Linked DNA regions of Arabidopsis thaliana. Each later gene encodes a partner of the first gene's protein in a complex. Each region holds a gene or a part of one and is shown on either strand. Other genes may lie near its edges.

What was found. Proteins that work in one complex are often made in the same cells at the same time.
Region 2: RIP3 (region 1) and KINESIN-13A share a complex: the UniProt entries of both Arabidopsis thaliana proteins name them as parts of the active ARAC10-IRC5-KIN13A complex.
Region 3: RIP3 (region 1) and RAC10 share a complex: the UniProt entries of both Arabidopsis thaliana proteins name them as parts of the active ARAC10-IRC5-KIN13A complex.

Annotation. Positions count from the first base shown.
Region 1 is NC_003074.8:19,778,631-19,786,226, reverse strand, and holds RIP3 (ROP interactive partner 4), read left to right. Parts: upstream 1-3,525; 5' UTR 3,526-3,689; intron 3,690-3,996; exon of another isoform or gene 3,997-4,602; 5' UTR 4,603-4,671; coding exon 4,672-4,691; exon of another isoform or gene 4,692-4,729; coding exon of another isoform or gene 4,730-4,782; coding exon 4,783-6,037; 3' UTR 6,038-6,145; downstream 6,146-7,596. Other genes in the region: AT3G53360 (Tetratricopeptide repeat (TPR)-like superfamily protein), read right to left, coding at 1-1,725. UniProt on the Arabidopsis thaliana protein: ROP effector binding specifically activated ROPs and linking them to the microtubule cytoskeleton. Involved in ROP-regulated polar growth.
Region 2 is NC_003074.8:5,660,856-5,671,787, reverse strand, and holds KINESIN-13A (P-loop containing nucleoside triphosphate hydrolases superfamily protein), read left to right. Parts: upstream 1-3,836; 5' UTR 3,837-4,220; intron 4,221-4,291; 5' UTR 4,292-4,373; intron 4,374-4,472; 5' UTR 4,473-4,526; coding exon 4,527-4,715; intron 4,716-5,161; coding exon 5,162-5,383; intron 5,384-5,782; coding exon 5,783-5,962; intron 5,963-6,073; coding exon 6,074-6,175; intron 6,176-6,326; coding exon 6,327-6,404; intron 6,405-6,648; coding exon 6,649-6,730; intron 6,731-6,866; coding exon 6,867-7,029; intron 7,030-7,276; coding exon 7,277-7,606; intron 7,607-7,798; coding exon 7,799-8,017; intron 8,018-8,107; coding exon 8,108-8,678; intron 8,679-8,789; coding exon 8,790-8,855; intron 8,856-8,945; coding exon 8,946-9,128; 3' UTR 9,129-9,413; downstream 9,414-10,932. Other genes in the region: AT3G16650 (Transducin/WD40 repeat-like superfamily protein), read right to left, coding at 1-41, 388-412, 525-655; TCTP (translationally controlled tumor protein), read left to right, coding at 1,059-1,086, 1,416-1,489, 1,582-1,868, 1,962-2,079; TOC120 (translocon outer complex protein 120), read left to right, coding at 10,050-10,932. UniProt on the Arabidopsis thaliana protein: Internal motor kinesin involved in trichome morphogenesis. Participates in regulating the formation of Golgi-associated vesicles.
Region 3 is NC_003076.8:25,233,589-25,240,858, forward strand, and holds RAC10 (RAC-like 10), read left to right. Parts: upstream 1-3,374; 5' UTR 3,375-3,647; coding exon 3,648-3,752; intron 3,753-4,212; coding exon 4,213-4,300; intron 4,301-4,444; coding exon 4,445-4,554; intron 4,555-4,662; coding exon 4,663-4,726; intron 4,727-4,816; coding exon 4,817-4,881; intron 4,882-4,974; coding exon 4,975-5,040; coding exon of another isoform or gene 5,041-5,111; coding exon 5,112-5,224; intron 5,225-5,314; coding exon 5,315-5,351; 3' UTR 5,352-5,674; downstream 5,675-7,270. Other genes in the region: AT5G62865 (uncharacterized protein), read left to right, coding at 476-979. UniProt on the Arabidopsis thaliana protein: Involved in local disassembly of cortical microtubules when associated with ICR5 and KIN13A.

The sequences.
Region 1 (7,596 bases):
TACATGATTTGGCTCTATGCCCGCACTTTTCATTTCCTTGAACAATATGAGAGCTTCCTCTCCAAATCCAGACTGTGCATATCCAACTATCAAGGTGCTCCACGAAACTACATCTCTGTTATCCATTGAATCAAAAATCCTTCTCGCTTGCCCCAGTGATCCACACTTGGCATACATATCAATCAGTCCATTTTTTATAAATTGCTCAGGCGCCAACCCGGTTTTCAAACTATAGCAATGGACTTGGCTTCCCAACTTTAGAGATGAGATTTCCACACAACCCCGCAACAGATTACCCATAGTTATGTGATCTGGCTCACATTCAGACACAAGCATCAGCTTAAACAATCTCAACATCTCTACTGGCTGTTCGTGTTGCAAACAAGCCGTCAGAATAGTATTCCAAGAAACAGAATCTGCGTTGTTTCTGAAATCTTCAAATAAATTAAAACAACAATACAAGTCTGAGCAGAAGGTGTACATGGTAAGCAGAGAGTTGCAAACCGTAAGATCTGCCAGGAAACCCCACTTGATAATGTAAGAGTGAATTTGCATTCCTTGAGACAAAGCCATTGGTTTTGTCTGAGCACAAAGCAAAGAACGCAAGGAGATGGCATCAGGAATAAAACCAGAACTCCTCATCTGAGAGAAAACTGATACAGCCTCATCAGCGTAACCATTATTTGCAAGTCCAGCAATGATCACATTCCATGATGCTGTATCGGGTCTTTCTATCTGATCAAACACTCTCCTTGCAGAATTCAGGAAACCGCATCTAGCATACATGTCACAGAGCGAACAGCCTGCAATTGCGTTTCCAGCTAACTCCGACTTAATGCATAACCCATGTATTTGGCTTCCATAATCTGGTCTAAGGAGACTGCTACAAGCTTTTAAAGAACTACCAAATATATATTCATTTGGATGGAAAACACCAAAAGACAACATTTCTTTTAGGTGGCTCAGGGCTTCAAACTCAAACCCAAGTTGCGAGAACCCTGCAATGATTGAACTCCACGAAATTAGATCCTTCATTGGGATACCATAAAACACTCTGCTAGCATCTGACATTTGATTGAAGCGAACATACATAGCAATCAGAGCATTTTGAGCAATAAGATGAGAACTGGATTCCAACTTAATGACTTGAGCATGCAGTTGCTTCCCTAACCCAACATCACTACTACTGGCACATGCTTTGATAATGCTTCCAAATGCAAACTGGTCAGGAACTAAATCTTCCTGAAGCATTTTCAAGTATAATCTGATAGCCTCGGCTCCCTGACCGTTCTGTGAATAGCCAGTAATGACAGATGTGTAAGAGACCAAATTCCTTTCAGGCATAAAATCAAAAACCTCTCTGGCATCCCTCAGCGAGCCACATTTTCCATACATACTTAGAATGTGATTATTAAGAATAGTATCATACTTGCAGTTGGAATTCAAAATGTGATCATGTATCTTTCTGCCTTGTGCTAGAGATCTCGATGAAGAGCAAGCACAAATTAAAGAGATGTAGGTTCTTAACCTTATCTTGAAGCTTGAGTTCTTCTGCGCAAAATCAAACGCTTCCAATGCTTCCCGGTAGAAATTACTTTTACATAGGGAATTAATGTGATCATTCATTAATTCTTCGGTCTTGATGGTTGATACAACACTTGATGTTGCCAGTATCTGACTGTTGCTGACGGAAACTCTAGCTCCCAACCGTAACATTGTCGCCATTTCAGTTAACCTTTTTTAATCCAAACGAGTTCTTCCTAGCAAAAGAAGGTTCAGCGAGAAAGACATGTCACTAAACGAAGCATCCAACTAACCAAACAAAGAATTCTTTATCTTCGTCGAGAATGAAGGCAATATAATCCATTATATCAAACTTCTTCAAAACAGATACAACTGAATATTCTTGTGCAAACTCATATGTAGATGAACAAGTTGGATATCAGGACGGGCCTGTTTCAAGGGGAGACAAAAAAAAGTAATCAAATACCTTGTATATATATACATCATTCAAATTATATTAAAACTCAGGATCAAGCCAGTTAATTTCACAGCATAAATGCTTTAGCAACAAAGTGGTTAGTTTCACAGACATTTTATCGAGCAGGTGGTGTGCACAATGTAAAACAAAGAAAAACAGAAACCTTTGACGTAAGATTTTGATTATTTTTCCGACAATGTCTGAGTAAATGAGAATGGTGGAATCTGGCTCCAATTTCAATGATTCAAATTGAGGGACAAGGACGAAGAAAGAACCGCGTTATGGTTTTAGACTTTTTAGTGGTGTGGTGAAATTTACGTCGAGTTTTGAACGATACATATGGATACGAGTTACGGTTTCAAGTATGGTTCAACCGACGCGAATTAGATCGAACCGAAAATTTGATCGAAAAATGAAATCGTTGTCCGCCAGAACCGGATAAAACCGGAAATTGGGAGGCGGATGAAATTAGTTTTTGACTTTTTGTACATAACCAACCCATCATCAGTCGATCACTCACTCTCGGTCACTGAAAATTAAAAAAAGAAACAACACTAGCTAATTTCAAAATGTTTTATGATCAATGGTTTATAATAATTTCTAACATTTTTGCATAATCATCATCGCATGGTGGTGTTTAATTATTTAATTACTAGCCAGACAGTGTAGTGAATTTATTGTTGAAATACTTTCTTTTTATTCGTCAAAAGAAAAATTTGATTAGTAGTTCAGAAGTCACTAGTTAATACTCTAATAATCTAGTACTAGTGAATATAATGTTTTTACAAACCATTAATGTAATCAAGCTAATCGATCGTTAGCATAAATTTCAACGATATTTTCTCCCAATTTTTGTTTTCCGCCCAAATATATAGTTAAAGTTGTGTGGAAATAATATGTTAAGTAAATTAGCAAGCGTGTATGATAAATGAAGATAGTGATGATTGATTTTGCATTGTTTCTTTTAGGAGATGTGTATGTCGTATTTATCATGCATCGGTTTTCTATGAGGTGGTGTGAAAGTGAAACGTTACATGCTTCAATATATAGCACTTTCAAATGTATGTAGATTGAACACGGAAGGTTAATGTGTTTTTGTGAAAAATTGTGACAATTTTATGAAAATTTTCCATTTATAAAGTATATAGATATGCTAGGTTAGTGTCCTTTGTGTGTGAGTGACTTATGGTTGCGTGACCGTTCGTTGTTCATAAGTAGCAATATGAGGCCAAACAATAGCACGTGACTCGGGCGCGTCTACAAGGCGCGTAGTTAAAAAAACGCCCCCTCCACGTTCTTCTACTTTCGGTCCATTCTATCAATTAATTTCAAAATAGCCCCTGATATTTATTGATCTATTTCATTACCAACCCCACAAGTTTTTTTGATTATCCAAAATTTTAATTTTAATTTTTCGGAATAACCAAAAGGAATCCAACGTAAAAGGATTATAAAAATAACTAAGTACTGAAAATTGAGGTGGAAACAGCACAATCATTACTTCAGGGGTTACTTTTGATAAATATTGCAGTTTAGTTGAAAATAAATGTTTCTTCAGTGGGAAAAAACGACTCGCGAGTCCAGTGAGAAAAAAAGAATAACAATCCGACGAGAAAGAGGAAAGATCAAATCATCTAAGTGCTGGTGCCTTGATTCTGCAGTTCTCCATTTTAATCCAACAAAAAAAGAAGCTGAATCGACGGTATAGGTGAATACTTCTTCACGACTTTTTCAAACACTCAGAAACTTCTCTTCCTTTCACATTGATTTATTCCTAATTTTAGTGCGATTTTTTCCTTTTTTTTCTCAGAAGTTTATCAATCTTGTTAGGTAGATATTTACTACTAGTTTGTTTTTTCTACTAATTTGCTGAAGAAAGTGTTAATCTTTGGTTGGTTTAAGGTATAAATTTGCTTACATCTACTCAAATCAGCTAACTTTTATTTTGGTTTGGTAGCTTAAAGATTCAGTCAAAAAAAACTTTAATCTTTGTTTTCCTGCAAAAAGCAAAAGTGTTTCTGTAATAAAACACCTTTTTGCAGAGAATGTTAAAAGATTCTCTAGTTTTAGGCTTTATGTAAAAACGATTTTTTTGCTGGGTGTTCTGTTTTTGGATCTGTGTTTCTTTTTTGGGAAGATCCACCCAATGAAACCAAATCTCACATTACAAAATGACAAGAAATTGTCTCTTCTTCCCAATAATTCCAAAACTTTGATTTAGTAAAAAATAAAATAAAATAACTGGGTGACTTAACAACCAGAAAGATTATGTGTAAGATATTGGTGCTTTCTTTGCTTGTAATAGGGTTTATCTTTGGTGATTTGATGAATCACATTGACGGCAACTTCTTTTCTAATTACACTTCTAAATATTTTATATATTTGGAATTGTTCCAAATCATTACAATATTCATTTGTTGTCTCTTTGCTTTCGTTTGGTGGTAATAGGAGTCTCTTTGAAGCTAAATGTGTAAATATTATTCTTATGTTTTTTTCGTACACTTGCTTAAGCTTTCTTTCTTCCCTGAGTTTGGTTGTCTATATGCTTATGATAAGTTTTTTTTTTCCCTCTGTTGCTTCTTTCTCACACTTTCCATTGGTCTTCATGTACTATTTGTCAGATTCTTCAAAGAAGCAATCATAACGCAATTGATTATATCCCCAAAAGAAAAGGTTTTTAAACTCCAAAAATGCAGACTCCAAAATCAAGGTGATGATCACAACTCTAACTTTGTGTTCTTGTTGTGAATGTTGTTGGAGTTATTGATCTGTTTCAAAGTGATTGTGATTGTGTGTGATAGGCCAGGATCATTGGAGCTGCCACAAAAGAAGTCTCCTTTACCAGCTCCCAAAGTTGTTAGGAGACTCAAACCAAGCGGAGCAGAATCCGATCCAAAAACCAAGACAATATCGAAAACTCAAATCCCGAAAGTAGTAGCTGATCGTCGCTCTGCAAGAATCCCTCTCAATGAGGTACTTTTGCAGTTAAAAATTGTTGGTTTGGTTTGGTGTATGCAAGTTTTATATATGGTGATTCTTGATTATGTTCTTTTCAAGATTCAGAAGAAGCGGACGGGAAGGATACCGGAACTGGAATCTACGATATCTCAGCTTCAAGAAGAGCTTAAGAAGGCAAAAGAAGAGCTAAACAGATCAGAAGCATTGAAAAGAGAAGCTCAAGAAGAAGCTGAAGATGCCAAGCATCAGTTAATGGATATCAATGCCTCGGAAGATTCAAGAATTGAGGAGCTGCGTAAACTCTCGCAGGAGCGAGACAAGACATGGCAGTCTGAACTTGAAGCTATGCAGAGACAACACGGAATGGATTCTACCGCTCTGTCTTCTGCCATTAACGAAGTTCAGAAACTGAAATCGAAGCTCTTTGAGTCCGAGTCTGAGTTAGAGCAGTCTAAGTATGAGGTAAGGTCTTTAGAGAAACTCGTCAGACAGCTCGAGGAAGAAAGAGTAAACAGTAGAGACTCTTCATCATCAATGGAAGTGGAAGAGCTGAAAGAAGCAATGAATCTTTCAAGGCAAGAGATAACACAATTGAAATCTGCAGTTGAAGCAGCAGAGACAAGGTATCAAGAAGAGTATATACAGAGCACATTGCAGATAAGAAGCGCATACGAACAAACAGAGGCGGTTAAATCAAGATATTCACAGAGAGAAGCAGAGTTAACGGAAGAATTGAACAGAACCAAAGATGAAATCGAAGGTTTGCGCAAAGAGTTAATGGAGAAGGTGAAAGAAGACGAATCTACGGGCGATTTGAAGAAGCTAGAATCGGATTTGATGGAAGTGAGAGGGAGTTTAATGGATAAAGAGATGGAGTTGCAGATTCTAAGGAGTGCAATGGAGAAGAAAGTGGAAACCGCAAACACGGAAGCCATGGAAGCTGAGCTTAAAAGAGTGAAGATTCAATGTGAGCAATGGAGGAAAGCTGCTGAGACGGCAGCTTCTATACTGAACAATGATGAGGAAAGAACAGATTCTATTGAGACTAGCAAAATGTTGAAGAAGTTTGGTGTGTTACTCAAGAAAAACCATAAGTAATAATAATACTGATTCTTTTTACTTGATTTAATAAAAATGGCATTATTGTTGTATGTAAATTTATAAAATTTCGATTTGTCTAAGTTTAATTTTTTTGTTGAAACGTTGCCACATTTGTTGATGAAATTTGTATTGTGAAATGTTGTTTGAATTCAATACTTGAAAAATTATACCTTACTTGTCTGAGTGTGAGCTGCTAGTAGCAAATTTAGTTTGGTCCTGTACATTGGTTTACACTTTACATGTATAGAAGAGTCAAGAGTGTAAAGTAAAAGTTTGTAATAGAATGTGAAACTCTAATTAAGAAGCCACATGAATACCTCTCAAGTCTTGGATCTTCCTTTTGACATTTTCTTCTGTCTATTTTCCTTTTTGTTGCGCACTAAACGCTGAGACGGCCCACTAGATTGTCTTTGGTAATGACAACCAAATCCACTTCATGAAAACATTTGACTTTTTTTTTTTTGGCAGAGACTAACCCATTCTACCTAGTTTTTAGATATCAGTGACAATAATTAATTAACTACTAGAAAATGTCCCACGCGATGCGTGGGTGAAATGAATGTAGTGAAATATATGTCTATAACTAATATATATTAATATAATATTAATTATTTTATAATACATTCAATAAAAAATATCATAAATATTGTGATTATGATATTTTAGTTTTAAACTAAACATTTAGTTTATGAATTATAATCTAAAATTATTTTGGGTATTTATAAATTAAAAATTATCGAATTGATCAAAAAAGAAAAATTATAATATTGATATACAAGATAAGCCTTGTGTTTTATTTAAATATATGAAAATGATATGCAATATTTCTCTGAGTAAAAGATTTCATAAGTATATATCATATTGATTATAGTATGTGTGTAAATTGTAAAGTAGTTAATAGATTTGAAGTTGTGAGATTGATAAAGTCTTGATTAATGAGTAAGATTAACATATATGAATATTGATATATTAATACTAATTGATATCAAAAGAACTCTAAATACTTTATACAATTAATATTCAAATTATTTACTATTTCTTCCATCTTTGAACAATATGGTAAGAAAGTATTGAATTTATTTACTAATGATTTACTATTTACACATGATTTTCAATAAAGAAGTTTAAAGTTATTTCGATGCACATAATCAAATATTGAAGAAAATATACCATAATTCGGTTGAAAACTAAATAAATTTAAAATTTAAAGTGCAATGTAACAAGTAACAACATACAAAATAATTTAAATTAACAGAACTTCCCACCAATGATATCAATGAAGATTATATATTTTGTATAGTTTCATCATTCATCAAATCTCGTAGGTTATATATTATCTTTATCCATGTAATTTATTTCTATATTACCTCATTTGCCAACAAATGCATCAAAAGACGAATTATTATGGTCACTATAAAACTTAAGAAACGAAATATAGTGTAAATTTAGCATGATAAGTAAAAGATAAACATTCTTTCAATTACTATGATTAGTAAAATGAGTTATAAGTTACTGTTTAGTACATAAGATTAATAATAAATCAAATGTGTACAAAT
Region 2 (10,932 bases), about 14 Mb from region 1:
GGCTTACTTGCAGGTTCTACGCCTCCAAATGCAACTTGAATCTATACAAGTAACGTCCAAGTCATTAACTTTTATATTCTACTTGATGTTCACTAAAACGCTTGATGCAAACTAAACATCTTACTATAAAGATGAGGGTAATATGCTAGAAAGCAAACTCAAACAATAGTAGCTGATGAGAAGAATCTAACTCCAGATAAAAGGTAAACTATAAAAGTGATAAGCCATTGACTGTTCGATTTACACCTTATAAAATTTTCTCAGGTTCAACGTCTCTGAAGCTTGCTATAAAGCTATCCATTATCAAACTCAAAACAAAGAAGAAGCGAACAAAATTTTCAACACGATCAAAGATAAAATTTAAAAAATATTCGAAAACCCCCTTACCTTATGGCAGAGCCGAATTCTTTTGCTGCGAGACAAGAACAAAAACAGACAAGAAGAAGAAATCGTCAATACACATAAAAATTCTGAGAAATTTCGAGAAAAAAAAGTGGACATTGCAAGCGAAACTGTTGATTAACCTTTCAGGATCAGGCTGAGGAAATTGGCCATGGACGGGGGAGAAAATTTCACGAGCTCGTCTAACAGATTTTAGACTGAGTTTTTTCAGTGACTGAGTTTCGACCTCCCTGTTCAAAGCTATCATCGTCATTCTAGGGTTTTACACGAACAATCAGAAACAGAACGAGAAAGACGGAAGAGAAGAGAGGGAAATAGGATTTTATCCGACCCGAACACTATTTATACGTAGCCCAACACTCGAATCCCCACCCGTTGGACCAAACCCGGCTCATTAAGCGTCGGTTCAGATTTATTTCCTTTATTTAAAAAAAAGGAAAGGGTAAAAAATAGAAAATTGGAAACAGTTAAAGCCCAAAATTGTAATTTACCGAGAATTGTAAATTTACCTGAAAACCCTACGCTATAGTTTCGACTATAAATACCAAACTTAGGACCTCACTTCAGAATCCCCTCGTCGCTGCGTCTCTCTCCCGCAACCTTCGATTTTCGTTTATTCGCATCCATCGGAGAGAGAAAACAATCAATAAGCGACCATGTTGGTGTACCAAGATCTTCTCACCGGTAAGCTCAATAATTCCTTAATCTCGGTATGAACTGTGTAGCTATCGATCTTTTTCTTCCGATCGGAATAAATCATGTTATCGAATTGTTAGATCTGTCATCGCATCATAGGTTTTTCGTTGATTTGCTGCTCTTTGCATTGATAATTCAAATCTTAGGGGATTAGTTTATGTGATTTGGTTAGATCTGTGATTCATTAGTATATAAACGTCCTTTAATTGAGCTTACCGATTCGTTGTAGATTGGATTTTAGGGTTTATTCGCTTGTATCGATTAATGTTTGGGATCTTATGAGTAATGACTAAAGAGTCTGGGCTATTGATTTACAGGTGATGAGCTTCTGTCTGACTCTTTCCCTTACAAGGAGATTGAGAATGGAATCCTCTGGGAAGTAGAAGGAAAGGTCAGTGTCATCGATTCTACTTCAAGTTTTGTTTTGATTTTGTTAAATTTTTGTTTTCCTGTTCTGAATTGGGTTTTGATTTTGTTATCCAGTGGGTTACTGTGGGAGCTGTAGATGTTAACATTGGTGCCAATCCATCTGCTGAAGAAGGTGGTGAGGATGAAGGTGTTGATGACTCTACTCAAAAGGTTGTTGACATTGTCGACACCTTCAGACTTCAGGAGCAACCAACTTATGACAAGAAGGGATTCATCGCTTACATTAAGAAATACATTAAGCTTTTGACACCCAAGCTCAGCGAAGAAGATCAAGCTGTCTTCAAGAAGGGTATTGAGGGAGCTACCAAGTTTTTGCTCCCCAGGCTCAGTGACTTCCAATTGTAAGTTACCCCAATCTATCGTATCTTGCTTGTTATACATGACATATATTTCATCTGAAATCTCATCAATGCTTGTGTTGTCTGATTTTACAGCTTTGTTGGGGAGGGTATGCATGATGACAGCACTTTGGTCTTTGCTTACTACAAGGAGGGTTCAACTAACCCAACATTTTTGTACTTCGCTCATGGTTTGAAGGAGGTCAAGTGCTGAGAGAGAAGCTCTCGTTGGGTTACTGTGGTCGGTCGCAGCGACTCTCTAAGTTTATGTTTCTTTATATTGTCCTGTGTTTCGTCGTCGTCCCCTATTAAAATTACCTGCCAGTTTACTTTTCTCTCTTCTTGTTTTCTGTGTTGGAAGATTCTCAAGTTATTTATTCCGCAAAAAACGGTTTATCATTTACAATTAGTTGAATTTTGGTCGTTACTTTTTGTGTTATTTGGTGTGATATCTCTTCAGCTTTGCTTTTCTAAATTAAACTCCCGAATCTCGAGGCATGTTTATAGTAGATGTCTAATAATTTTGGATTCAGATCTTATGGACGTGAATAAACGAGTGGGTTACTCTAACTGTTAGTAACTTTAAATCATGGAATATGCTGTAGAATGATTCTTTTGACTTTAGTCTAATGGTGTTTTATCCCTTTAAAAAGAAAAAGTTTCGTACAGACATGATGTCTTGAGACATCATCATAGGCATGTTCTGCTCCTTATCAAGGATTTCTATCTCACGTGCGGAATCGATACTAACTAGAGTTCTGTCATCTTGGTTTTAGTTGTGAGACAAATCACAATGTGGCCGTAATAATAATGTATTATGTGTATTCTTTTACTTTGACAAACAACACAACCTATCCTATGCTTTACTATTCTTTTAGTTTGTTGGTTTTATTATTCGAACTATTTATTTATGTATGTGTGGTGTCCGTATGGATGAGAGGGCAACCAAAATGCGTTGGTACGTATTTGTGTCTCACGTAAAAGGAAACGTGATTTGGTCTTGGTCGGTTTGACGTTGCTCCAACTCTCTTGTATCTTATGTATTTATCGTCATTATTTCTTCAAACTTTGTTGTTCCTTTCGTTTTAGGCTTTTAGCCTACACTATTTAAACATTTCTTATGTAACAAGTAGTATCAACTTCTATCTATATGACTATATTGACGTAGCCATACAAAGGAGGTAGATCATCTAAACTTACACAAAACTAGAGAGACCAATGTTTTTAGGAAGGATAAATAAAGGAAAAGCTCCTTTCATACTGGTTTATATAGTGATTACTTAAAATCAGGAATCCTTTAGATCGGAATGCTTTAGGCTAAAGCAAAAGCTTTTTGATTCAAAAGAAAGGAACCCACAAGCTGTATTAGCCCCACTTCGCTACTTTTGCATATTCTCGTTCGTATATTTTATTGGATTAACACTTTTTTTTGGGGTTTAAACAGTACACATACATACACAAGATTGGTACTTTTGATATACACTCACTTATATTCGCACATCTAAACAATTCAAAATTTGAAACCGTATAAAAATTTAAACAAACATAAGAATATATAAGATTAGATCATTGTCATGTACTAAAATTCCAAAAGTTGTGGATTTCATGTCGAGAAAAACTCATGTCATCTTCCTCGGACAATTTCAAATTTCATCTCTATTACCATAGATGGTCCAAAACAACATCCTTAAATACCATAAAGTAGCTAAAATCTGAAAATGCACATAACTGATCAACCCACCAAGGTTATATTATTAGTTATACTACATATATAATAAACCAATCAATGTTTATGCAATCTGCTCAAAAAGGTATGAGATTCATACCGTATGATTCAAGATGAGAACATCAATTCTATTTTTATGTCACCATGTTGGTATATGTCCTTGTGTCACGATCTCAGCAAAAAAATAATATTTCAACACTATCTTTTAGAATATATAAGACCGTTCAAAGAAGATTGTTTCAAATGTTTTGGACTAGACTGTACAATCTTAAAAAGTAGGACAAATCGGTGAATATTTCTGAAGTTAAAGGGTGATCTAACTGTCACTTTTTTAAAAAACTTTTAAACACCTCAAACTTTTTAATTTATTGTGTAAGTGTCTTATACTTTGTCAAATCTTCTTCAACGCCCCTCTCTTTCTCATCTCTCTGCGCCTAACGTCGCTTACGGAAGAAGACGAAAATTTTGAACAGAAGCTCTCTCTCTCTATCTCTCTATCTCTCTATCTCTAACGCTATTCGATGTGCGTAAATTAGGGTTCTTCACTCGTCGGATCTGATTGTATATTGTGAAAATCTCAGATCTCAGATCTCTTATCTAACACCGTTGCGTGTCTTCGTTTCCTTCTGGTAATCATTACTTTGGATAACATCGATCTTCTTCTCCGATTATTGGATGCAATTTATTGATTGAATTTCAGATTTTGAAGGAGGTGAAGCAAAGTCGGGAGCTGTACATTTCCGCTTTCATGTTCTGTGTTGAATCCGAATTCTCTCCACATTGTGAGTTTCTCTTCGATTTGAATCTAACATTCTATTGTTGAAATTAGGAATTTTTTGATTTGTAACAAATGGGTGATTCTGGTTTTTGTATGGATGAAGAGTTGTTTTTACAGATCTCCGAAGTTGGCTCCTCAAAGAAGATCACAGCGCCTCATGGGCGGCCAAATGCAGCAAAACAATGCTGCGGCTGCGACGGCGCTTTACGATGGGGCTTTACCCACTAATGACGCAGGAGATGCAGTCATGGCACGGTGGCTTCAATCCGCTGGTTTGCAGCATTTGGCGTCTCCTGTTGCTTCTACAGGCAATGATCAGCGTCACCTCCCAAACCTTCTCATGCAGGTAATTGCTTTCCCTGATTCTTTGTTTCTGTACTCTTCCAATATTTTGCATGCCCTTTAGTTTTCTTGATGGAGTTTGCCCTAGCTTGGTAAAGTATGCAAATTTTGTATTAGACGCAGATAGCCAAGTTTTGTTAGAGTTTTCGGTCGCTAATTCCTGCGCACATTTGGTGTTAGACTACTAAAAACGCTGCAGTAGGAAATTAGGAATGTAGGATTGTTTCTCCCTGTTATGGATATTAGTCATAACGTATCTCAAGGAGAGCTTGGAATTTGTTTGGCCATTTATGTAATGTGATTAAGTTAGATGTTTGCTGCAGGGTTGTTAGTGATTTCTTCTTCGATTGGTAAATTTCTATAGAAACTTTTGCCTTGGCTCTTGTATAATTCGCATGAACGGGTTCTGATATTTGAAGCATCCTTTGTGGTGTTTGCGGTATCTGCTAGGGTTATGGAGCTCAGACTGCTGAAGAGAAACAAAGACTGTTCCAACTAATGAGAAATCTCAATTTTAATGGGGAGTCGACTTCTGAATCATATACACCAACTGCTCACACATCAGCAGCTATGCCCTCTTCGGAAGGATTTTTTTCACCTGAGTTCAGAGGTGATTTTGGAGCAGGATTATTGGATCTTCATGCAATGGATGATACAGAGCTTCTATCTGAGGTATGCTTGGAAGAAGAACTAGTGCAAAGACTTATTCATAGTTACTCATTAGTGCCCATGGATAACAGAAAGATCATAAATTTTCATCATCAGATTGTCTGTTCTTGTGTTACATCCCAGTTTTCAAACTGTTCTTGCCAATCTTACATTGCCATATTGAGTCCCACCTAATCCATTGGCTTTGTGCACATGTAATCTATCTGCGAGACTTCTGTAGGCAACTTCTGATCTTGACACTCGAATGGATTTAGCGAGATGTGACAGTTTTGGTCTTGTTGTCATTAGAAAAGCATCTGAGCTAAATAACTGCTTGTTGCATTTGCTAGTTCATAAAGAAAGCGATTATCCATGTGAAAGTTACCAACTTTTATGATACGTGACTTTCCTTTCATTTTGCAGCATGTGATTACCGAACCCTTTGAGCCGTCACCTTTCATGCCTAGTGTAAATAAAGAATTTGAAGAAGACTATAATTTGGCAGCTAATCGTCAACAGCGGCAACAGACAGAAGCTGAACCTTTGGGTTTATTGCCTAAAAGTGATAAAGAAAATAACAGTGTAGCCAAGATTAAAGTAGTGGTAGGTCATTCACTTGAGAACTGACATGTTTCCTTACTACTTGATTGTTTTATAAGCAACGTTCATTATGACTAGGGATGATTGGGAAACCACTTTTTTTTTTGTCTATAGGTAAGGAAAAGACCCCTAAACAAGAAAGAAACAGCTAAAAAGGAGGAGGATGTCGTGACGGTATCTGATAATTCTTTGACTGTCCATGAGCCCAGAGTGAAGGTTTGTGTGCATTCTTCATCATAGATAACAATGGCAAACATGATTCAGTTGAACAACTGAACGATGGCATCCTGCTATTAAAGGTCATATATTCTTTTCATTTAATATTGTCTTTTCGAATATTGAATGAACCGTAATCTTGTTGGTGCAGGTTGATTTGACTGCTTATGTGGAAAAGCATGAGTTCTGCTTTGATGCTGTTCTAGATGAGGATGTTTCAAATGACGAGGTAAGTTAAGAATTGAGCTTATTGGAAACCATAGAAAATCCTATTAGGTGTCCGTGATGCAACCTTGAGCTTTGGTAGATTTATGATTTATGTCAAGGTCGACATACCTGATTGACCTATTAACTAGATCATAGCATGTGGTTTCCCCCAATCCAGATTGGATTGATGTATGGATACATTAAGCTTTTTATATATACAGAAGCTTTATGCTGCTTTGAACATGTTTGTTTGTTTCCTTGAATAGGTGTATCGGGCCACAATTGAGCCAATAATTCCCATTATTTTCCAGAGAACTAAAGCTACATGCTTTGCATATGGCCAAACAGGTATGCAATGACATTAATGTTCATTGGGAAATACACTGATAGTTATACTCTTGCTAACAGATTCCAGTTTTTAGAGGATAATAGATTAATAGTTTCTTCATGCTTTCATGGCCCTAATGATGTTTTGCTTATTCAGGTAGTGGTAAGACATTTACAATGAAACCATTACCTATACGAGCAGTTGAAGATCTTATGAGGTTGTTGCGTCAACCAGTATACAGCAATCAGAGGTTTAAATTGTGGCTCAGCTATTTTGAGATATATGGTGGAAAGCTGTTCGATCTTCTCAGTGAGAGAAAGTTAGTGTTCTTTCTTTTTCTCATTTCTTATAAATGTCGTCTTTGTTGAGGGGTTTTATGTTTTCCTTTTCTTTTGGCATATACTTTGTTCAGGCATATACTAGCTTATAATTGTTATTTCGATGTCAGTATATCGTAAACATTGGCACTTATTCATCCTATCAGTGTCAATACTTTCCATTGTTGTCTACTACTATCGCAAATGCATGTTTACCATTGTCTAAATCATTCAGTTATTGCCGAGTAGGAAACTTTGCATGCGAGAAGATGGTAGACAGCAAGTTTGCATTGTTGGCCTGCAAGAATATGAAGTTTCAGATGTACAAATTGTAAAGGATTTTATCGAGAAAGGAAATGCCGAAAGGAGCACAGGTTCAACTGGAGCAAATGAGGAATCTTCTAGATCGCATGCCATCCTACAGCTTGTTGTAAAAAAGCATGTTGAGGTAAAAGACACTAGACGGAGGAATAATGATAGTAATGAATTGCCTGGGAAAGTTGTGGGAAAGATTTCTTTCATTGACCTTGCTGGCAGTGAAAGAGGTGCAGACACCACAGACAATGATCGCCAGACAAGGTAAAGATTCTCTTTGCCCCTGTGATTGAGTAGTTTGAGAATTGACCTACCACTAATGTGTAGATTAAAATTTATGCCTCTGTTGGACTTGTGGGCATTGATAAAGTGGCACTTTGCTGCTACCTTTTTACTTTAGGACCACCACACTTCAGATCTAAATGCTTCATTGTTTTCATTGTGGATTTTTCTTAGGATTGAAGGCGCAGAAATCAACAAGAGTCTCTTGGCTCTTAAGGAATGTATACGTGCACTGGACAATGACCAGCTACATATACCATTTCGTGGAAGCAAACTAACGGAAGTGCTCCGTGACTCATTTGTTGGAAACTCAAGAACGGTGATGATTTCCTGCATCTCTCCAAATGCAGGATCGTGTGAACATACCCTCAATACTCTAAGATATGCTGATCGGTATGTTTTGTACAAACTATAGCCTCTTGTGAAACAAATTCTCAATTTCATCGTCTATTAACCTCTGTTGGTTATGTATGGAATAAACAGAGTCAAAAGTCTATCTAAAAGTGGAAATAGCAAGAAAGATCAAACTGCGAATTCAATGCCTCCGGTTAATAAGGATCCTTTGTTGGGCCCAAATGATGTAGAAGATGTCTTTGAGCCTCCACAGGAAGTGAATGTACCAGAAACCAGGAGGAGGGTGGTCGAGAAGGACAGCAACAGCAGTACGTCGGGTATTGACTTCAGACAGCCTACAAATTATCGAGAGGAAAGTGGAATCCCATCATTCTCAATGGACAAGGGAAGATCAGAGCCGAACAGTTCTTTTGCTGGCTCCACTAGTCAGAGAAACAACATTTCTTCATATCCCCAAGAAACTTCAGACCGTGAAGAGAAAGTAAAGAAAGTGTCACCACCTCGTGGGAAAGGGTTGCGGGAAGAAAAACCAGACAGACCACAAAATTGGTCTAAAAGAGATGTCAGTTCGTCGGATATCCCTACCTTGACAAATTTTAGACAGAACGCAAGTGAAACTGCTTCAAGGCAATATGAAACCGCTTCAAGGCAATATGAAACCGACCCTTCGCTTGATGAAAACCTCGATGCACTGCTTGAGGTAAAGTACTCACCTATCCCTTTAAAACATGAGATGAAGCTGTGAATTTGATTTGCAAGTAACGGTAGTTCTGTTTATGTCTTATCGTAACCATCACATGACTTTTTTCAGGAAGAAGAAGCTCTGATTGCAGCGCACAGAAAAGAAATTGAGGATACAATGGAGATTGTTCGCGAGGTATGTAAATCACATCATTGCAGCGCACAAAAAACGATTGTAGAATGTTATCACATCATTCAATTTTCTTTTCTGTTATATCATTATCAGGAAATGAAACTTCTAGCGGAGGTGGACCAACCGGGAAGCATGATAGAAAACTATGTGACGCAACTGAGCTTTGTGTTGTCCCGGAAAGCAGCAGGGCTAGTCAGTCTTCAAGCCAGGCTTGCTCGGTTCCAACACCGTCTCAAGGAACAAGAAATACTGAGCCGTAAGAGAGTTCCTCGGTAGTTGGTAGAAGAAGGAAAACCAAAAGTGTGGTGTTGTTTAAGTGTGAAAGGTTGGTTGGGTGATCTCTTCTTATATATGACAAAGAATGACAGAAATGTCCTTCATGTTTGTGAATTTGGGCATTTCTTTCCTTTTATTTTTGAATCTTTATTATAAAGTTATACCTTTTGTGTTTCTTATTTTTCTCTTCTCCTCTATCCTCCCAGAAAGCTGGATACTGTCAATGTGAATCAAACTCTTTTATCAATCAACTGAAAAAGTATAAAACCATTTATCATCTGAAAATGTTTCAAAATTTGGTGAGCCATATATAAAATCAAATTTCTAACAATTAATAAGATCTTCAAATACCATCTATATAGTGACAACCAATGAAAAGACAGTTGAATAGCTCCAAAAGAACAAATAAAGCAATTCTCTCTTGTCGTAAAGATAAAATGGCCAACAAGATTATGCAGCCCAACTAAAAAGGCCTTGGCCCACACTTTACTATTGATCACGTGACATGCCTTTTTCACGATTGCAATATAAGAGCCATTTTCCACCGTCCGATGTTAAAACCCAAACCGATTTAAACCGTCCATGAAAGTCGCTTATCTCCTTCTCCTTCCCGTCGTAGTCGCACTGTCGCAGGCGAGTAAAAGGCGATTTATACAAATACAAAAAAAGCGCATGAAGTTGTTTTTTTTTCTTTCCAGACTTTTGCCTTCTCTAACCAGGTTAGATTCTCGCCATCACTTTTTCTCCTCAATATCAATAGATTCTTCTTTGTATTTTCTGAATTCCTATGAGCAAAATATACCTACGATTTGGAAAATATTAGTTTCACTCCCATTTAATTTAGTGTCTTGTGGATTTAAAAGTAACGAGGATACAAAATTTGGTTGGTGCAGTGTTTCGTGATTTTGGGTGATCCTAGAAATGGGAGATGGGGCTGAGATTGTAACCAGGTTATATGGGGATGAGAAGAAGCTTGCAGAGGATGGTAGAATTAGTGAGTTGGTGGGATCTGATGAAGTGAAGGATAATGAAGAAGAGGTCTTTGAGGAAGCAATTGGTTCGCAGGAGGGTCTAAAACCTGAATCTCTCAAAACCGATGTGTTGCAAGAGGATTTTCCTTTAGCTTCCAATGATGAAGTGTGTGATTTGGAAGAAACAAGTAGAAATGAGAGAGGAGTAGAAAATTTAAAGGTTAATTATTCGGAGATTGGAGAGAGCCATGGTGAGGTTAACGAGCAATGTATAACTACGAAAGAGGCTGATTCTGATTTGGTGACTCTCAAAATGAATGATTATGATCACGGGGAAGTAGCAGATGCAGATATTTCTTATGGTAAAATGGCATCAAGCTTGGATGTGGTTGAGAACAGTGAGAAAGCTACTTCCAATTTAGCTACTGAGGATGTGAATTTGGAAAACGGAAATACACATTCTTCTTCAGAAAATGGAGTAGTCTCTCCTGATGAGAATAAAGAACTGGTGGCGGAAGTTATCTCAGTAAGTGCCTGTTCCGTGGAAACAGGGAGTAATGGTATTGACGACGAAAAATGGGAGGAAGAAATTGATGTATCAGCTGGCATGGTAACAGAACAAAGAAATGGTAAGACTGGTGCTGAGTTCAATAGTGTTAAAATTGTTTCAGGTGACAAATCCTTGAATGATAGTATTGAAGTAGCAGCTGGGACCTTATCTCCATTGGAAAAATCTAGTTCGGAGGAGAAGGGAGAGACTGAAAGTCAAAACAGTAATGGAGGACATGATATTCAATCTAATAAGGAAATTGTAAAGCAGCAAGATAGCAGTG
Region 3 (7,270 bases), on another chromosome or scaffold:
TATGATCCGAAATGTTAGTTTGTTGTACCCGCCGGATCACATTTGTTCAACTCGTTCCCTTAGTGAATAGTAGTTTTTATAATAAATATCAATTTTGTTTTATCAAGTGTATTCCTAAAAACATTGTTAGGAAAGTAACTATCTTATAACGGATTCTAGCTCAAGATATTTATTTTTTCTAAGACTCGTTTTCACCAGCCTAAGAAATTGTTTAACACTTTTTATGATTCTCAATCGTGTTGATCGATAATTGAGTTTCTAAGGTTTTAATATTTACAGCCATGATTCGTAAAAGTGTCAAGTGTGCATATAATAACATAGAAAAAATAACAATTTCTTAATTTATATTACAAGTGTCAAGTGTGCATATAATAAATAGGACCAATCATAATCCTTTACAGCTAAAACTTGAATCAAGTTATATTATCATCACGAGTCTTTTGACCCAAGAAAAAACTTCTCTGAGTTTCGGCCCATGGAACTTTCGCAGTCGGACCCAACCCGAGATCCTGATACCCGGTACGATCAACGTTGCTGTTGTTTCCCCAGCTTCCGCCGATCAAGAAGCTCCACCGCCGTTGGTTACTCCTCCTGGGGACGAATTCGAACCGTCGATGACAGTAATCACAGCGGCGACCACGGCGACGAGCCACGTTGGTGGATCCGAGCATCCTTGAAGATCCGAGAGTGGTCAGAAATCGTTGCTGGTCCACGGTGGAAGACTTTCATTCGTCGATTCAATCGCGATCCACGACGCGGCCGCGATTGGGACGCAAGCGAGAAGTTTCAATACGATCCTTTGAGTTACTCTTTGAACTTCGATGACGACGACGAGGAGGATGAATACGTCGGACTAGGTGGATTACGAAGCTTCTCGACCCGATTCGCTTCTGTCCCGGTTTACTCAGGTAAAGCTCCGGCGATTTCGCCGACGTCGTTGTCTGCGTTGACGCCGCGTAATGAGATCATTGAAAGTTAGTGGGCGCGTGTGAGAAACGCGTTTGCGTTTCTGGCGGCGGGGAAAAGGCTGTCAAAATGGTTGACTGGTTTGGTTTACATCGTTTTTGGAGTCTGTCGCGTTTTCTTATTTAATCATTCTGTTTATATAATCAACTTTGAATTAATTTTATTATTTTCCCAGTTTAATTAATTTATTTATCAACCAAATTTTATGTTTCTTGAAAGAGAAGCAATATTTTGTTTCTTTTTTGAGGGGATATTGAACTTGTTGTGGCTAATATAATATAATTTTATGTAAATTAGCTGTTTAGCATATGTGGAAGTAATGATTTAGTTAATCATGGTTGCTTGACATGATTTCTTTATTTTTATAATCTATACTCATTTTTAAAATTCCACTCAAAAACTTTTCTGTTTTCCAAAGATATAGTTACCGTTAAAGCCGAGTAAAGAGAAGAAACTATCAATCGTTTGGGGTAGTATGTAATGAACCAACAACACTTTTCCCAATTCAAACTTCAAACCTTTCTATTGGAAGCCATAAACGAATGACGATCATTGATCAAAACATTCAAATACATTTTTTCGTTTCTCTCAATTTATTAAGGAACTACATAACGATTTACATGTTCTAGAGAGAAAACTGTACCGAAGAATCGATTCACCTTCAGATTCATAAGAATGGTTCAAAATTCATAAGACCAAAAGAAACAGCAAATTAAAGAAAACAATAAAAGAAGGGACCGATAGGAACAAAGAGGGAGAAAACACGTGACCTGGCAAGGGACTTCCATTACGTGGGTCGGCTCGTTTCGGATGTGGCCCATATATTGAGTTGTCGGGCCCGTTGCATTTGTTTGTTGAGTTCATATGATATATTCGAAAAAACTTTTACTTTTTCAATATTAACCCAACTTCAAATCCAATAACCATATTTCTTACTGCCAAAACTCGGATTTGTGATCTTCAAGTCTTTTTCACTTTATGGATAATTTCCACTGTTAATCACGTTTTGCTTTTACGCGCATCAACTGTTGTGGAAATATATATTTATCGTTTGTTCTTGTTTCTTTTCAATGACGCTATCCTTACACCAGCACGACATATGCTCCTGTTACATGTCTTCCTTAGAGACCAAAAGTTATGGATTCACTTGTACACACATACACATATATTGATTTAGTTTAATGTGATTACTAGTCTCCTTTTGCGATTTTCGTTCTTACTAGTCTCTATATTTATCTGGTTTAGGCCATACTTTTGTCATTGTATTGTATTATTAATCAGCTACTTTAATTTGTACTTGTATTTTGGAGCTTTTGGTGGAAATAACTTGCAAAATACTAAAATATTGGACCAGAGAGCGATAAGTTCCCGTGGTCGTCCTTTTGAAGACCTCTCTAGTTAACAATACTTTTGCATTTTCATATTTATGGTGGTTGCGTCGCCGTCGATATAGTCGTAGGTATTACTCCAATAATTAACTTACCTTATAAAATAAAATCATTTATCTTCTGCTTTTGGTAGATGTTCACACAGTTTGGCTCCAACATCCACCTATAAATGATTATTTAAACACATGACAAAAACACTTTTACTTTCTAAACCATGAGTCTGCAATTATATCCATAAACAAACAAAAAGGAACTATTTGGTAAGAGTATTCAATTTTTAATAACTGTATTAAAAGTTGCTTTGTGAATATTGAGAATTTTTATTGCTGGTTGTTGCCAACGAAACTCTTGTTGGCAATTTTAAATATCTTGAGTAAATTAAATTAGATGATAAGTTTTTTTAAAAGTAGGTCCACATAAAAAAATCCATATATCCTAATATAATAAATGAATATCCTAAACTAAAATTACAATTTTAGAATTATCAGTTTTACACTTGTGAATTGTGATATAAGTAATGTTGAAAGGTTGGTCTTAGTGATTTTGCTATAAATTTTTGTTGCTATGATATTCTATTATTTTATATATTTTGTAACCCTAGCTTGTAAGTTATGCTATATACATTATATGATATGTAAGTCTCGAGAGAAAAACAAAAATAGCAAAACATGTATTCGACAGTACATGTTAATGTATACAAATATGGTATATCCATCTTCACTTGTCACTGTGTGGCTCAACGTGACACTATTATTAACTTGACGAATATCTACCTTCTCTTATAATTCGATTCGTAACGCCATACTTGTATGTAATACACATTATTTCATTTTCTTACAATCCAATACAAGTGTAATAAACACTTAAAAAAAAAAAAACAAGATTGAACCACCAAGATTTGGTTAACAAATTCCAATGCAAATTTGCTCGTTGGAGTAATAAATGAACTACAAGAATTTGGAAAAGGAAAGCTTGGACGATGGATCATGTGAGTCATCACCGCTCTTTCTCTATCTTCAAGTTCAAACCAAAAACAAGCCACCAAATACCAATAAACAATTTCGTTTATCTAATTGGAAATATTGAAAAAACAAACAGAAAAAAGTAAAAAAGGAACAGAAAAAAAAGCCATAAATTTATGCAACAAACCCTACCTTCTTCTATGCTCTAAAGAGGGTTTATTTATCTTTTACTCCTCTTTTTAAGTAATCTCACTTCATTTATCTCTCTCTCTCTCTCTATTTCTTTTGCTTCCTTTTGGTATTTGCTTTGTATGTTTGTTTTGAGATCAAAATGGCTTCAAGTGCTTCAAAGTTCATCAAGTGTGTGACTGTTGGTGATGGTGCTGTTGGTAAAACCTGTATGCTCATCTGCTACACCAGCAATAAATTCCCCACTGTAAGTTCTCTTTAAAAAGACCTCTCTTTCTCTCTTGAATTTTGATCAGGAATCTCATCTGGATTTATCAGATTTAGCTCAAATTTTACAAAATTTTAATCAATTTCAGTATCTGGGTCTACTAAATTTCAGCTTCTTATTGCCATAAAGGTTCTTAGAATCTATCTGGGTATGTCAAAGTTAGCTCCTTTTTCCTAGGAACTGTGCATGATATAAGATCCATTTTTGGAGATTTTGATTTTTTTTACTTTTCATAAGTATGTGTGGCGCATCTGGGTTTTTGCAGCTTTTGTGTATAGTCCAGCTTTATGTTATCTTTTTTCATTTAACATCCTCTGGAGTCTGGATTCGTCAGACTTTTTCTTCATTGCTATTATTATTATTATTATATGTATATATGCTTGATTTGATGATTGAAAGTTTGAAACTGTGTATTGATTTGATGAATTGTTTGTAACAGGACTACATACCAACAGTTTTTGACAACTTTAGTGCAAATGTTGTTGTTGAAGGCACCACTGTCAATTTGGGGCTTTGGGACACTGCTGGTATGAACACTCTTTCTGAGTCTTGAATCCTATAGTGGTTTATAACATTCTTATTGGTCTAGTTCTTTCATTTGGTTGATAAATGAGATCCATTGAATAGCTTTGTCTCATATGAGGTTACATATGTATATCCTTTGTTTGCAGGGCAAGAAGACTATAACAGATTAAGGCCTTTAAGTTACAGGGGAGCAGATGTTTTCGTCTTGTCTTTCTCATTAGTCAGCCGAGCTAGCTACGAGAATGTTTTTAAAAAGGTCTGATTGAATAAATGATCCTTTTCTCTAATTGTTGAAAACGATAAGACTCTTATAGTGTCAGAATGAGTCATTTCTAATGTTATATGACTGTTCTTATTGAGTCAGTGGATCCCTGAACTCCAACACTTTGCTCCAGGAGTTCCCCTTGTCCTTGTTGGTACCAAATTAGGTAAGAATAACCGATGAGCATTTACCAACAGATTCCTCTTAACCGTTTAGTTACAATTCATAGCTAATGATTCTTACAACACTGGTGTAGATCTTCGTGAAGATAAGCATTATTTGGCTGATCATCCTGGACTATCCCCTGTAACTACTGCACAGGTTTAGTCTTAAAGAGCCTTTTTACTTTAGATTTCATATAATTCCACTATAAGGCTTGATGGTATTAACTAAATGAACATTTCTATCTGATAGGGAGAGGAGTTGCGTAAGCTAATTGGTGCGACGTATTACATTGAGTGTAGTTCAAAAACTCAACAGGTATATGAGGCAGCTTCTTTATGTTACTCTTTTCTTCGGATTAACAAAGCGATGAAGTTTATATATTGCAGAATGTGAAAGCAGTTTTTGATTCTGCGATAAAGGAAGTGATCAAACCTCTGGTTAAACAAAAGGAGAAGACTAAGAAGAAGAAGAAGCAAAAGTCGAATCACGGCTGTTTATCGTGAGTATATATACAAATCTTTACAAACTCTGCATCTACAATCTTATGAAGGGTACTGATTTCACCTTTGTGTTTATTTTGTATGTGCAGAAATGTTCTGTGTGGGAGGATAGTGACTCGGCATTGATGACGATGACCCAACTCAGTCTGATGATTTTAAACTCCACTTTTGAGATTGTGTGATAAACGAGAGACTTTATATTATATAGATTGAATCATGTAAGAGATTATTAGCCTCTAATCAATCAATAGTTACCTTGAAGAGAGAAAGAGGGGGAGGTAGAGAGCTTATTATTAATTCAATTGTGTTTATTTGTTTCAAACCTGTTATTGCAATATATTAGCCATTTTGATACAACAGAGAAGCTCTCTCTTCCTTCGCTTAACCCTGTGAAGACAAGCAGTTATTGTCCTACATTAGCAATCAAGTAATTTTATTTTGTTTGTTAATGTTGATCTCTTGTCGTTACATTGTCCAGTGTCAGTCAAATCACTGTCCTCAAAGTACAACTGACCAAACTTTGTCTCTCTTGACATAGACATTAAAACTTTCTACATAAGAGTCTCATATTTCAGTAGTCGCAGGCTAATTCCAGTCGGTTCCAATGACACATTGTCTTCAAGATTTTGAGACAGCAGTTCCAAAGGTTTTTTTATCTTCCACCTGACCAAAAAAAGGAGATTAAGCCATAAAAAGATGGAAGCGACGAACTCAGTCGAAGACTTTCCGATGAGACTCGAGTACACGAGAAACGACCACTGGACTCACCAGACCAGTCCCAAAGGCAAATAAATAACGGAGTAAAAAAAAAAAAAAAAACGCCGAGTTTCATCTAAACATAATAGAACAAATGTCAATGGGTCCGAGAGAGCCTGTAAGAGCATAAATGGGCTTTAATCGGGCCAAATTAAATGTAACTCTTTCTGTTGTTGTTTTTCCGGTGTACCTCTCTCTGTTTTTTTTTTAGCTCTTTTTGGAAAAAGCAACTTTTTCTTGATTTCTTTTTGACGTGAAAGCAGGCTTTTCTGTTAGGCAGATAAAAGCATATTTTTATTACTTAAGACCATTTCCTTCGTAAAAGAAAGCAAAAGAAATATATAAACCGGACAAGGTTAAAAGATATGCGACACTTACACATCAAGTCATAAATTAGAAACAACAAGAACATGATTACTTATTTATTTGAGTTGGTGAGATCGGAGTTACAACACACAAGTTTCTATTGGGTATGGGGAAGAGAGAATGACAGGAAGAGCAGGGAGAGGGCTCGTTAATCTAAACCAACCATGACCCAAGTAGCCAACCTTTTTTTTTCCTCTTCAAAATTTCACATTCTTTATTCGAGATTATACTACTTATAAAGTATAATAACTAGCTCATTCAAACAAAACAAAAAGTGCTGTAAGGATAACACTATCAACGCGTGTTAAGAAAAGTAACACTTTTGAACTTCTTTTTACCATTGACAAATTTTAATAGTTACAACCATGTCATTGCTTTATTTAACAATTTTAAAAAGGAAATCTAAAATGTACATAAACCTTTAGCTAATTTACAAATATATCATATTCTTAATGCATCTACAACAACCATATTATGAACTCTAAATACTAGGATTTGTAACCGGATTCGGTTTATTTGGACTACAAAGAGTAAAAATGGACTTTGTCCATCTCATCTAGCCAATGTTTTATAAGATTCTATATTGGGTGCATCATGCATGTGTCTCTCTTGCTCACACCCTACATCTACCCATCGTTTCAGCCACAATTATGTATATATTTTTTTGTCTTCAACATTTTAGCTCATATGCACCAAATTTTCATGAAAATGTTTGTTTATCAATCATATTCATCATGTGTTGTTAGCCATTAATTTCGATGAGATTGCAAATCTTGAAAAAAAAAATGGAATTATGTGGGGGAAAAAGTAAAGAATGGCACATGAAGAGAGTTTTGCGTAATTCCCAAAAGTAAAGCCAGAAAGATTTTTCTCCCACCCCATGTGCTTACTCTCCCCAGTCCCCACTTTTTCTTAATTAAATT